2 linked regions of the Danio rerio genome follow. The protein of the gene in region 2 purifies or fractionates together with the protein of the main gene of each other region. This does not show direct contact. Links are inferred from orthologs where the notes say so. Each region holds a gene or a part of one and is shown on either strand. Other genes may lie near its edges.

The links. Proteins that work in one complex are often made in the same cells at the same time.
Region 1: the proteins of tacc3 (region 2) and vaspb purify together in Homo sapiens (co-immunoprecipitation; 3 studies listed by BioGRID and IntAct, with this or other methods). This does not show direct contact. The link is inferred for Danio rerio from reciprocal best matches to the Homo sapiens genes TACC3 and VASP.

The regions. Positions count from the first base shown.
Region 1 is NC_133193.1:43,703,141-43,710,402, forward strand, and holds part of vaspb (vasodilator-stimulated phosphoprotein), read right to left. Parts: intron 3,695-7,262; coding exon 3,444-3,694; intron 1-3,443. UniProt on the Homo sapiens protein: Ena/VASP proteins are actin-associated proteins involved in a range of processes dependent on cytoskeleton remodeling and cell polarity such as axon guidance, lamellipodial and filopodial dynamics, platelet activation and cell migration.
Region 2 is NC_133188.1:39,349,211-39,357,000, forward strand, and holds the start of tacc3 (transforming acidic coiled-coil-containing protein 3), read right to left. Parts: upstream 4,959-7,790; 5' UTR 4,842-4,958; intron 4,230-4,841; exon of another isoform or gene 4,112-4,229; intron 3,652-4,111; 5' UTR 3,651-3,651; coding exon 3,486-3,650; intron 3,108-3,485; coding exon 2,980-3,107; intron 2,411-2,979; coding exon 1,121-2,410; intron 392-1,120; coding exon 325-391; intron 246-324; coding exon 68-245; intron 1-67. Other genes in the region: mfsd2aa (sodium-dependent lysophosphatidylcholine symporter 1-A), read left to right, coding at 5,344-5,403, 6,696-6,779. UniProt on the Homo sapiens protein: Plays a role in the microtubule-dependent coupling of the nucleus and the centrosome. Involved in the processes that regulate centrosome-mediated interkinetic nuclear migration (INM) of neural progenitors.

The DNA of each region.
Region 1 (7,262 bases), on a different chromosome or scaffold from region 2:
AATATACACCTATTTCACTGAAAACATCACGCAATCATGTTCATTCATAGAATTAAAAGGAAAGCCTTTGTCTTAAGCTCCAGAAGGCATAGATTAACATTAGAGTCCATGAGCTGAAAATATACTCAGACACTCTGCCAAAAAAAACATGCCGTCAAAAGGTGGACACACCAAATATTAGTGGTATTTGCTGTGCTCAGTGCAAACATCTGCATGTTTCATGAATAATATGAAATTAAATCATGTTTTAGAGGGAAAACATCAATATTTTAGGATCTGTAAGTTGTTTTAATAATTTTGTCCAGCACTGTATATAGATTATTTTTTAACCTTGTTATTTCATGTGATTTGTTTCAGTTCCTTTAGATGAAACATCACTAAATAACATGTGAATCTATATAAGAAATTCAATAAAATAAGAAATTTTGAAATGCACAAATGATCTACTAAAATAAAAGTATTTTTAAAGTCATCATGTCAGAAAGTGACGCATCTAGACATCAGACGCGTCCCAAATCCCTACTTGTGCACTATTCTGTAGTGTAAAAAGAAAGAAGTGCATTCACACTGAAAATTCTAAAATGATTAAGTGCACTTTAAATACCTGGATAATGCATTTATTCAACTGATAAAACAGAAGTGTGGAATGATGAACACTTCAGATTAAATCTGATCTTTATTTTGTATTCTTTATTGGATTCAAGTCAGGTGATTGGCTGGGCCATTCTACAGCTTGATTTTCTTTCTCTGAAAGCATTTGAGAGTTTCCTTGGCTGTGTTTTGAATCATTGTCTTGCTCAAATGTCCACCCTGGTTTCATCTTAATCATCCTGCTAATGTAGATGTTGGACTGAAGCAGCAAATATTACTTTACAATGAGGAAGGGCAGAGGGTTGCTGAAGAACTACTGAGAGATGCCAGCTGCTGTCTGGGTCTTCAATGCCTTTCTACACCTCCCTTTCTTCATGTGTTCAATACTTTTTCTTCTGCGTCATTTCATTTTGTTACACATAACGTCATTTGTAAACTAATTAGTTTTGTTTTCTTTGCATATGTGGATTTCTTTGGTTGTTAGCAACATCTGGGGAAAGTTTCAACTGTGCACTTTTAGAAATATGTTTTCTGAGAAAAATTGTGACATGTTCAATACTTATTTCCCCCACAGTAAGTGATTGTGTTGCTTCCCGATGGTGAATGAAGTTATACCCACCGCAGTTACTACAGTTAAAACCAAAAGTTTACATACACTATATAAAAACGCACATAAGAATTAAAAAATAAAATGTCAGATGTTAAATGTGACTAAACTTTTTCTCTTTTAGGTAAGTTAGGATCACTAAAATTGTTTCTACTTGCTTAATGGCAGAACAATCAGAGAAAGTTTTTGAGAATTTTTTTTGAGTAATTTTCTTGAAAGTCAAAGTTTTACATAAGATTATTATGCCCCTGAACAAGCCCAGATGGTGATGTTAAGGTTTTGAAAGTTTCTGATTGGCTTATTGACAACATTTCAGTTAATTGGAGGCACAACTGTAGATTAGTATTTAGGAAAACCTCAAACACACTGCTTCCTTGCGTCACAACAGGGGAAAATCAAAAAAATCAGCCAAGACATCAGGATGAGAATCGGACCTCCAAAAATCTGGTTGTTCTTTGGGTACAATTTATAGATGCCTGAAGGTACCACATTCAAACAATTTTACTCAAGTATATGGGAATGTCCAGCCATCATACCGCTCAGGAAGGAGAAGGATTCTGTGTCCCAGAGATGAACGCGCTATGGTGCAAACTATGTGTATTAACCCCAGAACAAACGCAAAAGATGTTGTGAAATGCTGGCTGAAGCTGGTAAGAGAGTTATATTATACACAGTGAAACGAGTCAATACCAATATGAGCTGAAAGGCCACTCAGCAAGGAAAAAGCCATTACTCCAAAAGCATCATACAAAAGCCAGATTACAATTTGCAAAATCACACTAGAAAAAAGACTTTGATTTTTGGAGACACGTTCTGTGGTCTGATTGAATTAATATTGAACTGGTTGGCTATAATGACCAGAGTTACATTTGGAGGACAAAGAGTGAAGCTTACATCAGAACTGTGAAGTATGGGGGTGACAGCATCATGTTGTGGGGCTGTTTTTTCTGCAGGAGGGACTAGTGCACTTCACAGAATAGATGGCATCATTGTTACGTTTCACGTATGTTTTGTGGTATTTTGTTGTTTTTCTGTTTTGCGCTCTGATCTCTAACTCTCTCTTGTTGTGGTCCTATCCTGTTTCAGGTGTGCTACCATTGGTCGAGAGTGAGCTGTCAATTACCTTCGTCACTCAATCGGCGCCAATAAGGATTGGGTCCGCGCAGTATAAAAGCCCTGCGCTTGCGCTGTTCTGGAGGAGCGCTTGGCTTACTGCCAGTCTCCTCACTTGTGTCGACCGGACTGTTCGCTTGTTTGTTTCGCTTAGTTTGATTTCGTTTGCTGTGTTCTAGTTTTCTCTTTAGTGACAGATTGATTATTAGATAAACTTGTGCTGCTCAGTTTATTGTCTAGTGAGAATTTGAATGATCTTTATGAGAATTGGATTACCTGAGATCTTGTTTTGCTAATGGCTAACAGTGTGTACTTTGCGAGAATTCTAGTAATGCGAGCAGCTTAGTATAATTCTATATTAGTTAGTTTATGGAGGCGTTGCCACATGTGTAATTATGTTTTGAAGTTATGAAGTTTAGTTAAGCTACGTGCTGAAGATTACGGTTTTGTTTCTGCATTTTTCTTTGATCAATCAGTTTAGTGGGTTGGGGTTTAGTTAGATCATTCTGTTATATTTATTTCTTTGTTTTGGCAACACTCCTGTTTTCTTTATTTATTTTCTTTATTTATTTATAAATTACATTTACCTAACATTTCATATTCATTGTTTGACATTATCCATTAATAAATACTTACTTTTTGTTTCACTTATCAAGCGTCTGTGTCTTCTCCTCATTTATCCAGCATCAATCGACTCACTGATTGTTACGTTTTATCCATTTAATTATTTAACATCTTAAACACGTAACATCATGAAGAAAGAACACTATAACCATGACCCTAAGCATACTGCCAAAATAGTTAAAATATGCTTTAAGAACAACAGTGAAAGTTTTGGAGAGGCCATCACGAAGCCCTGATCTCAATCCTATAGAAAATGTGTGGGCAGAGTTGAAAAAGCATGTGTGAGCAAGACAGCCAACAAATCTGACTCAGTTTCACCAATTCTGTCAGGAGGAAAGGGCCAAAATTCCAGCAAACTATTGTGAGAAGCTTGTGAAAGGATACCCAAAATATTTGACCCCCTATTCAGTTTAATGGCAATAGATACTCATACACTACATGGCTGAGTCTATAAGTGCATAAAGTGTCATTTGGGATGCAACTATCCTCTTTTTGTGAATAATCTCACCTTGGGCACTTTGCGAAGTTTGGCAGCTGCCAGAGCAGCAGCGAGACCACCACCACCACCAGGTCCTCCACCCCCATCACTTCCTCCAGAAGAGGGCAGTGGTGGAGCAGGAGGCGGTGGAGCTCCTCCTCCTGAAGGCGGAGGCCCAGGTGGTGGAGGAGGTCCAGATGGAGGGGGTCCAGGGGGAGGTGGGGGTCCCGGGGGAGCTGGAGGGCCTCCAGGGGCCAAAGGCGGCGCTGGAGGAATCACAACTACAGAAAAAGAAAAACAGAAAACGTTCACTGAGCTACAGTGTTTCAAATAATAACCAAACCAACCAGATGAAATTAATACAATTAGGACAAAAAGGTATTTAAAAAGACAAAAAGATTATGTACTTGAATTTCTTTGCTTAGGGAAAACTACTCATCCCAAAAAAGCACAGTAAAATGTACAATAGGAAAATATACTAGTTAAAAATGAAAAATTACCTCATAATTTATTCCCAGCATCAATCGACTCACTGATTGTTACGTTTCATCCATTTAATTATTTAACATCTTGAACACGTAACATCATGAAGAAAGAACACTATAACCATGACCCTAAGCATACTGCCAAATTAGTTAAAACATGCTTTAAGAACAACAGTGAAAGTTTTGGAGAGGCCATCACGAAGCCCTGATCTCAAAATGTGTGGGCAGAGTTGAAAAAGCATGTGTGAGCAAGACAGCCAACAAATCTGACTCAGTTTCACCAATTCTGTCAGGAGGAAAGGGCCAAAATTCCAGCAAACTATTGTGAGAAGCTTGTGAAAGGATACCCAAAACATTTGACCCCCTATTCAGTTTAATGGCAAAGCTAAAAAAATAATTCTAAAATAGTAAACATTTAGTACGATTTAACATCAGTATAAAAATATACTAGTTAAAAATGAAAAATTACCTCATAATTTATTCCCCCTTAAACCTTCATGAGTTTTCTCTTCTGTTGATCACAAACGAAGATATTCTGAAGAATGCTGCTAGCCCAACGACTTCCATAATGGGAAACAGAGTTATTATAGAAGTCAATGGGTTTATAGTCTGGTTTATACTCAACGCATTGGCTAGTTCGCTTGAGTGTGCGCGGCAAATGTGACCTCATCGATGTGTTTGCGGAGGTTCATTTTGGGTGTGCGCCACATGATTTCGGCTGGCTGAGCGCATGATTTTTTTTGAGACTCGAGCGAACAGTGTGCGCGGCTCTGCGTTTGATTTGAGTTGAGTATGAAACACTTTGAAGAGATTTTGTCTGAAGCGGGTACTGTACGACTGCCTGATCATAGGGAGAACTAGATGACCGATAATTATTGGCTAGAAATTGCAGCAGCTGTGTGAGAGGAAAAAAAGTTTTTGTTAAAAATTTTGGAAAAACCCATGGGATAAGTTTGTTAAAGCCAAAAGAGGATGCGGAGACCCATGTACACAATTAAAGAATGTATTTTTCCCACCATTGAAGGGTTTAACACTGATGTATATTACAATTTTGAATTTAAAACAATTTATTAGTTACAAAACTATTATTAAGGAACAAATTATTACTTTGATAACAGGAAAGGAATATTTGAACCTTTCGGTTTACAATAAACTGATGCCCTGTTTGGCTAACACGTCAAGTATAAAAACCTTGTCCATTTCGTGAGGTGAGCCCGCAGTCAGTGGAGGTCCGTGACACGGTGCCAGACGAAAGTATAAATCAGGCTTAAGCCAGTGGTTCCCAAAGTGGGGGTCGGAACAATGAAAGAGGGGATGGGGTCGCTTGGTGATTTCCAAAAACCTAATTCATTTTATTAAACTATTAGAATTACCATATTTTACCCATATCCTACTGAAGACAAAAATAGAAGTTTACAGTTACTATATACCATTTACTTACTGCAGTAGCTTATAGTTCTATTGGATTGCGACCCCTGCAGTGATTAGGTTATATTAAAGACACAGCAATAGCATCAGATGCAGCAGACTGATTTTAGGGCACCAGATTAAACTTTGACACATTTACAGCACTCACATACAGAAAAAAAATTAAGAATACACTTGGGCCTATTGGTGTGTGCGCACCATTGCATGCAAGGTTTCTGTATTTATAACCACCTCAGAGGATATTGGGGGTTTCAAGTCACTGGCATTTTTATTTTGGGGGTTGCAGGCTGAAAAGTTTGGGAACCCCTGGTTTAAGAAACCAGGATTTTTCTAAATATCTTCTTTTGTGATCAACAGAAGAAAGAAACTCAAATAGATTTTGAATAAGCGAAGGATGAGCGAATGATGGATTTTTTTTATTTATTTTTGGGTTAACTGTCTATTTAATTAACAGTGATTCATGGATGTTTTCCATTCATTTACATTTTCAGATTGCATCATGGGAGCGTGATCTTCAAAAAGTTGAACAAAGTGACTTTTACTGCTATTTTTAGCAGTCTGAAAAAAAAACTGTCTGGTTTGGTTACATAATTATGGTGCGGGTAATGAGCTGAGTGTTTGAAGCAGATATCAAGGTCACATAATGCAGTATGTAGGCATCAATAAAAGAGAACATCTGTGAATCTCAAGCTATGGGCAAATATAATATTAACATATTCTTAAGTGTATACACATTATGATTAACCACAATTATTAACAGTATCATATTTAAACAAAATAAGCCTATAAAACAAATAGATTTTTAGAACTAGTTATTTGAGTTGTGTTCATTTTAAAGAGCAAATGGTAAAATTCACAGTTTGATTTTTTTAGTAACTCTTTATACTAACTACACACTATGAATCATTTGTTAAGCATTAGCAAAATGTTAATTCATAATTCGTTAAGCATTAACTCTACAGTAGACGTTAGGAAGCAGTTTATAACTGCAGATAAAAAAGCTGTATTTCTGACTTATAAACACATGTGCACTGAGCTGAATGATTGTATTTTTATACTTTGTTAATGATTATTTGTATTATTAAGTATTGTATTATTTACAAACTACATATTTAATAATAGTTGATATTTTAAGATCATTCATAATGTGTAAGTAAATGATTAATAAACTATTCAAATTAACATTCATATATCTTATTATTCAGGCATATAATAGTTCATTAGTATGCTAATAAATGCTTTATTAACTCAACTTCATCCAGTTATTATAACCTAATCTAAAGTGAAGACTAATTATGCTTTGTAAATCCCTTATAAATTACAATTAAAGGCTCAGTTCTATTCTAAACAGGAAAAAGAAAATAAACGACTTTATTCATTTTTATTCCTTTGAAGACACACAAACGAAACTGAATCAAATGAAAAATAAATCTTTGCAAGCTTATCTAAAATAAAACTACTGTACAGTTTAAACTTCGCTAAATAACATTGAAATGTTGCATAATAATAATTGTTAAAATATTATATTGTTGTTATTTTATCCAATTTTATTTATTTGTATTTATTTCTAATTGTATTGTAACACTCTTGTTATTCAGCAATGTTTAAACTTTACAGTAATTTTATTTTTAGATAAGATTGCACACATGTATTGTATTAATACTAAGCCTTTAATTGTCATTCATAACGGACTTACAAAGCTTAAATAGTCCTTACTTTAGATTAGGTCACAAAAATTAATAATTTGGCAAATAAATTGATTACTGATGTCCATGTAAACACAGTCACTGTCTTTCTCCCCTGTTCTTTTTCTCCCTGTGTTGATTTGCCTCTAAAAATCAGCATGTGCTCAAACTGAAACTCCCCTTATAATGCAAACCATTCCTTTTTTTGCCACTCAACCCTATCACCAAAACAATCATGGACTGACTCACTT
Region 2 (7,790 bases):
TGATATACATTTTGCAATCAAAATTTGAAAGCATGTATTGAACAAGATTGCAAATTTGTTTACTCACACAAAGCACCAGGCACAAATTCATCTTCATTTGATGCTGCCACACCAAGATCACAGGTCTGATTTTGAATATCTGCAATAGATTCTGGTACTGCCATGAAATCTCGTTCCGGCACCGCTGGATTCTGGGGTTTGTCAGTGTGAGATACAGCCATTGATGACTCAACATCTTCTGCCAGCTTGTAAAAGAATGAGTGTTGAACAATGTCAATCTTTGATGAAAAAGACTTTGAATTGTTGCATTTAAAAAATATTTACCTCTTTAGTCTCAGGAAGATTCGCTTCTACCATATTTTCCTTGCTTTCAGAAACTACCTGGGGAGATCTGGAGGGGGGACAAAATACAAATCAATGGAGCTCGTTCTTATTTGCTAAATGCGTTTATACAAATAGAATTTGAAAGCATTCAGGGTGCAATTAATAAGTTCATGCATCCCCTTAGAATAAAATGAGGTAGCTAGCAACATACACTGCTTTTGAGCAATAGAATCTGATATGGAGCTTTAGGCCTCATTTACACTTAGCAGAATGGACTGGTACTCTTCAGTAGGAGTCACCTTGACCAAGCTTGCATTTCAACCATCAAAATACCAAAAAAGAAAGCCTTTCAGGTCGTTGTTGCACTTTTGGCAAACTCAAATTAATTTCAAATATAGACGTGCATGCAAAGAAAACAGCACCCTTTTGGACAGACTCAAACAATAGAGGCAGCAGATTTGGTCTTTGCTTCTTGGAATTTAATTGCAACAAGATCAAAACAATCTAGTATCATATTAATATGGTGTCATGCGTCTCAGCTGTATTTTTTTGTTTTTAAATTTTCGATATTATAATCATCTGTAAATCCATTCGGTACCGTACTGTTGCACTAGGTACTAGGAAAGAGTGCCAAAAAAGTAACATGGTATTGTTTACTGCTTTAATACTTTTGACGGTGGAATTACAGTTAAATATGAAACCGTACTTTCAAAACCATGCTATTTAGTAGAATCAGGCCATTATTAGCTTGTGCAGATAAGAAATGTTCAGCGTTTTGTGTATGCGGTGTACGTACCGTTGCTCAGGTTGGTCATCCTGCGCAGGAAGTGTCTCAAGTTGCTTAACAGGAGATTGTGCTTTCTTCAAAACTGGACTGGTCTGGACCCCACGTGGTGGTGAGTTTCCCATCATAGCCTTTGTGCCAAAGGGGTTAAAGTTTGGGTTATCAAATTGTTCAAAATCAAAAGTGTAAGAACCTTTAGCAGAAGGAATATCCACAGGTTGGGTCTCCTCTGGGCTTGTAGGAGACATCTGCTTGGGTTCTGCATCTTTTTTCTCTGTGACTGGTGCATCTGTTTTTTTGGGCACAGGTTTTGCACCAACAGGTCTTTTGACCCCAAGGCGTTTTGGAGGAGGTTTGCGTTTAACTTCAGCTCCATCATCAAAATTAAACTCTAATAGCATCTGGCTCTCCTTTGGGGCAGTTGTAGATGAGGAACTCTCTGTGGCAGTGGAGTTCTCCTGAGGTGTTATGGATGGATCGGAGGATGTTGGGATATCTGTCTGGACTGATAGCTCTTGTTCAGGTTCGTGGCTTAGCAGGGGTGGGTCAAAAACTGTTGATGTTTTGGTTGGAGGAGAGTTGGGGATCTTTGACCCACCAGTTTGGAATGGGTTGAGCATTTCAAGGTTGTCAAAATCCAACTTGTAAGATCCTGCAGAAGGTAGTGGCAAGTCCTGTGCCTCGGGTTGACCCTCAAAAACAGGAATCTGCTGTGGCTCTGCCACTGGGTCAGTGATCTCAGTCTCCTCTGTTTCATTGGTGCTGTTTTCAATATTCTCAGTCTTGAGGATGACTGTGCCCTCTGCTGAAGAGAGGTTGGCCGAGCATTCTGCAAGGGAATTCTCCACTGATGGCACAAATGGGAGAGTCTCATCAAGTGCACTTTCAGTCACCTCTGGAACTTCAGCCTGAGGTGCAAGAACAGGGGCTACGTTGCCCTCTGTCGATGAGATGTTGGCAGAGCATTCTGCAAGGGAATTCTCCACTGATGGGACAGCTTCTTCAAATGCACTGTCAGTCACTTCTGCCTCTGTCTCTACCTCTACCTGGGGTGCAGAAACAGGGGCTATGGTTGTGTTAGACTCTACAAGCTCTGATGTTGCCGCCTCCGTAAAAGCAGAAGATTTAGGTGGGGAATTCGCCATTTTATTGGAGCCCTGGAAAGGGTTGATGGCATCAATATTGTCAAGATCAAAGGAATAGGCCCCTCTGCTCTGAACAGGCATGTCATCATCAGGTAAAGCAACACTGTTACATTCTATGTCAATTGGTGTGGTGTGAGTGTTATTCATCAATGAACTCCTGAAAAACACAAAAGGAGGTTTTACACGTTAGCATATTTGTCCATTAAAAACAGGTTAAGAGGCTTACATAAAAATATTTTAAAAATTAATCTTTAACCTAGTTTTCTTATGAATACCTTGTACTATTAGAGTGGTACATTAAAGTTGACAAAATATTGTTTTAGCACTGAAATATTGTTTTGCAATGTGGGCATCAACAATAGTCAAGAAGAAAAAGTAATGTCAAATAGGAATCCTATTTGAGCATGCACCACAGGTCAAACATGATATGTGGATTCAATTATAAAGTTGAATCATTATATTGTGAAAGATTTGAAAGAAATATGTCCTTTCACCGTGAATACATCCCAAGCAAGTTTACAGCTTTCAGACAAAATTTTTGAAAACCCATGTTAATATTATTTGGAAACAGGATCATTATGTTTTACCCATCATTTTACACCAGAAGTCTCTGGGTCTGTTCGAAGAAGTGCCTTTGGTGGAAATTAATATAAATAAAAGGTACACCAAATACACAAATGGTCATCAACAGTCCTGAACAATTGGAGATGCAGGTAATTTACTCACTGGTCAGAAAGGCCTGTGAGAGTCTCTAGTGCATTTTTGTGATCATCCTGGCTGATCGGCCTACTGGTGCGGCTTGGAGACATGATCTTCTTTGTCACTGGATCTCGCCGTGGGGTTTGAAAACAAACCTATATAAGAGAAATTAAGTAACGTGCAGGTTAGTCTAAGCTGTAGTACAAGGCCAAGAAAGGGTTCAATTATTACATGCAAAATAAAATTTATAATAGTACAAATAAATACTGCATTTGTGAATATTAAAGAATCCAAAATAAAATGTAGCATGGCTTCAACAAAATCGACCTGCCATTCATAAGTGTTTTTGTTTCTTGAAAAGTCACTCAGATGTGCTCATATGACACTAAAGAAAGTGTCTATAGAAAAGGTAAATTTACAGTCAAAGGAACAAGTTACTTTTTAAAATGGAAAACACTTGGTTTATAACCAGTGATTTTATTACACATTATACAGTACAGAAAAAATACTGCATGGAAATTTGTCAAGCCCACCTTTGCTGCTCTAGGAGCAGTCCTGTTAATGTTGTCAGCCTGCGACTGCCGCAAAATCGAGGGTCTGCCAGTCGGCTGATCCAACATGAAAATGTCACAAGCGAATTCAGAATTGCTGTTCATCCGTACAGCTCCCTGATTCTCCTTCAGCGCGTCAGAACTCATACTGTAAAACAGAGACACAGAAAATGACAACATGGGTTTTGGAAAGTCACGCCCAGCAGGCACCATAAACAGCTGCTTTTGCTGATAAGACCCGGAGGCGGGCATCTGACCCAACACCCAGAGACCCTAGTCCTGAGACACTTCAAATCTGTTGCATCTCCTTTCAGACTAACCCACTGTGACTAATAACCCAAACCAGTGACAATTTAGCCTTGTGCTGAGGGAACAAAGTGCTTCTTTTTAGTGAAAAAAAAAAGAAAAGAAAAAAAAAAAAATATATATATATATATATATATATATATATATATATATATATATATATATATATATATATATATATATATATATATATATATCATGATCAAACACTATGCCAATCCCCTGATACTGTGATTTTTTTGTGAGAATAAGTAGGAACAAGGAAGAGATTGACAAACAAAATCAAAAAACAAAATCATTACCACTTCTGGCCTTATCTGTTCTTGCCTGGATTCTGCTCAACTATGTAGGCCTGACAATATGATTGTCAGCTTTGTATTTGACAGGTACTTCTGACAGCTTCTCTCTCCTACAGCTTACCTGGACAGGTGATAAACAGCTCACTATCATAAATCAAATGATCACATTTTAACCTGAACAAAAGTGAGATATCAGATCAATCCCTCACTTCAGTGGAAAAATATAAATAAACCACATAACGTTTAGCACAGCCAGAGAATTGAGTGCAAGACAGAATTTAGCCTAACAGCTCACATACCCACGTGGATGACAAAACAACATTGAATACATGAATGAATAAATAAATATAGAATTTGTTATTTATTTAAAAAAAAGTTTTTAATGCAAATAAATTAACGTTATCTCCAACAGTGCTCAAAATCAATAAGTTACACGTAACGTCATACTTAATGTTAATTCTACATTTTTATGCCCTTTCCATACGAACTTTAGAAATTTAACTATAACAGAAAAAAAATCTCTAACGTTACATAAAGGATAGCTAACAATCACTTATCGCAATCTTAAAATAACAGGATTAAGTTAACGTTACATCAGAATGTTCGACGTTCTGGCAACACTCACGTAGCAAAAAAGTCAAAGCGATTAAGTTACCTTTATGGTTTCATATCGCGCATTAATAACTTACAATCCTATAAACGTGGCTCGGGGGCGGTTTTCTAAAATACGTACCTTATTCAAACTGCTCAAATCTAATAAAAACCGTTTTCTTCGCAGAGACAGTCAGCTCGACACACAGCATAGAGATGTTGTTGTTGCATTTATAACTTTCCCCGTTTGAAACGGTTCAAATTTAAACGGCGCACTCTCAGCCAATTAAATGCAAGAATCAACTCTCGTCAGGCGGGGCGATTATACGAATCGACCAATAGCATCGCACGTCAATCTGCGCTTTTGTACAGGATATACATTTGACAGACATCCAAACCAGCCAATAGGGTAAGCCGTTGACGCAGACGGTTTATGAAGATAAATAACCTCATTTAACCCTTTTACTTGTTGAAAACAAGTGTAGATTTGACAGTGTAAACTACTGCTGTTGTTGTAGCTTAGATATTAGATATAACTGTTTTGTTTTCGTTTACAGTGTTTCGCTGTACTGAAGATGATACTTTAGTTTTGAGTTGTCTTGAAAATGGAAAGTTATCAGGGAAGAGTGATGTTTTGAACCACAATGTACTTTCACTGTATGTTTTCTCCATACAATGAACGTGACGACAAGCTTTGCAACAGGGTATGTATTAAATATGAATTTCGTTTCATATTGCAATAACAGTGCATGTTATGGACATAATTGTCTTTTATAATTTTAGTTTTTGATAATATATTTGCTGTTAATCAACGCATACATTAAATCATTTTGTTGTTGATGCATTTTTTTAAGCTTTAATAATAACTATTTTTTATTATTACCATCAGACATGGCAATACATGCATGTGATATACTTGTCATTTAAATGACAATGTACTTGTTGTTTTGAATTTAAAAAAATGTATTGTAAAGAAATTGTTTGTATAGATTTCAATTACAATGCATATTTATTTCAATATATTTTTGTCATGCAAAAATCACTTCAGCATCATTTACGGACGCAAGTTTTTACAGTTTTATTAGTTTCTAAGCTAATACATACAGAAAATAATAATATTAATATAAAGGTAAAAGATTGCAGAGGCACATGCTTATGCATAATTAGTTTGATCACAAATACTCCATTTTCTTCTACAAAAAGTGATTTTTTTAGAATTAAGTGGTGATTTTAAAAAAGAATCCTCAAAATTTCTTTCACAAGGTAAAAACCATTTACCATGAATTTGGTAAAACGCCTTGAAATATATATGTTTATTGCTGTTTTTGTGCATTATTATGAACATAATTATCTTTTTAAAAAGTATAGTGGGTACAATAACTTTTTTTTATGATTTACCTAGCTTTAATTACCCATTTTTTTAATCATTACCAGCAGTCATGGCAAGCAAAAGCATACATTTGATGTACCTGTCAATTTTGAGAAATTTTTAAATTTAAACGTAAAAAAAACACGTTTAAAAGTTTATAGTGTTTCCATAGATTTCAATTACAATACAAATTTTTCTCAGAATGATTTTTAATCACTTTTGGACTCCAGATTTATACAGATTTGTTCTTATCGATATTAATAAATATAGAAAGTAATAAAATTCATATATAGATAAAATGTTTACAGAGGTTTATACCCAATTTGTTGATTTTTATTCTGAATTTTCCGAATCAAGCAGTGATTTAATTCCCTTCTGTTAAAACCTTTTACTCTAAATATGCCAAAAAAGCATCAAAAATTTTGAACCTATTATCATTCAGTGTTCAGGTTTTTGTGCTAGAAATTTATGCAGAATAATCAATACTAATTATACATGCCTACTTAAATATAGCATTGTAGAAACTTGTAATACAAACTTTATGATTTTTGCAATTCTTAATGTTTTCAGTCAGCTGTGGAAGCATGGCGATAACTATTAATAATTATTTACCCTTTTCACCTGCAGTGTCTTGCCTTTTTTCGCAAGAGGGCAGCATCGGATCACATCCAATGCCTCAATGAGTGCCAGACTGTTATGGGATCATGTATGGTAAGCTTAAACAAAACAATGCGTGCATATATATGCCTTTGCGAATGTTTATGGACTTGTATACATAAAAATATTAGAAATGCATTGCGGTTGTATGTTCATTTAGTATGCCAAAAACATTTATAAAAGAATCAAAGACTAAACCAAAAAAGCACACTGAAGAATGGGCGGGGCAGGGTAGAGGAGAGGAGAGAGTTACATAACAAAGGCATGTTTGTGCTGAGGTCAGTCAGTGCATTGACTCCCTCTCCCCGCACTACTGACCTGCATTCAGCTTACATCACATACATTAAACACACAGGCTACGGATATCGGCTGTCCTCAGACGAGGTGATTTCATTTATTTTAAGACATAATCTGCATATGCATTTTCTGCATATTGTATTTCAGTCTGAGAATAATCTGAGCACATCTTTTGTAGTGCTTTCACAGTTTAGAATAAAAATGTAATAACAATAATTGTTTATAATTTATTTAATGTATTTGCTCATTCATTTGTTTACAATATTTAAGATCTGATATTTTATAGATGTTATAATGACCTGTTTTCTCATAAATGGTAAAAAAGCAAGTATTTTCTCATTATCTATTTTATTCATTTATTTAAATATTATACAGAACACACTGACCTTTTATGTATTATAAGTATAAATGTATTTATTATAAATTATTATTATCATTATTGGAAAATTCCAGTAAACATATCTATAGTTAAATCTGTGTAAAAAGAAAAATATATTTAGGCCTTCCCCCATATCTCACTTACTTTCATCTAAAAGTAAATGTTTTGAATGCAATATTTATGTTCATGTTGTTTTGTTAGAAATAAATCTGTAGGTTTTATAAATCATCCATGCTCACAATCACAAGATAAAAATGGTTATGAAACCAAATGATCACTGAAATGTTGCACAAAAAAAGTGAAACTAACATTTATGAGCTTACGAAAATAATTAAATATGGTTCAAATTGACCCAGACAGCAAGATATTCAGATATTTTATAAATCATC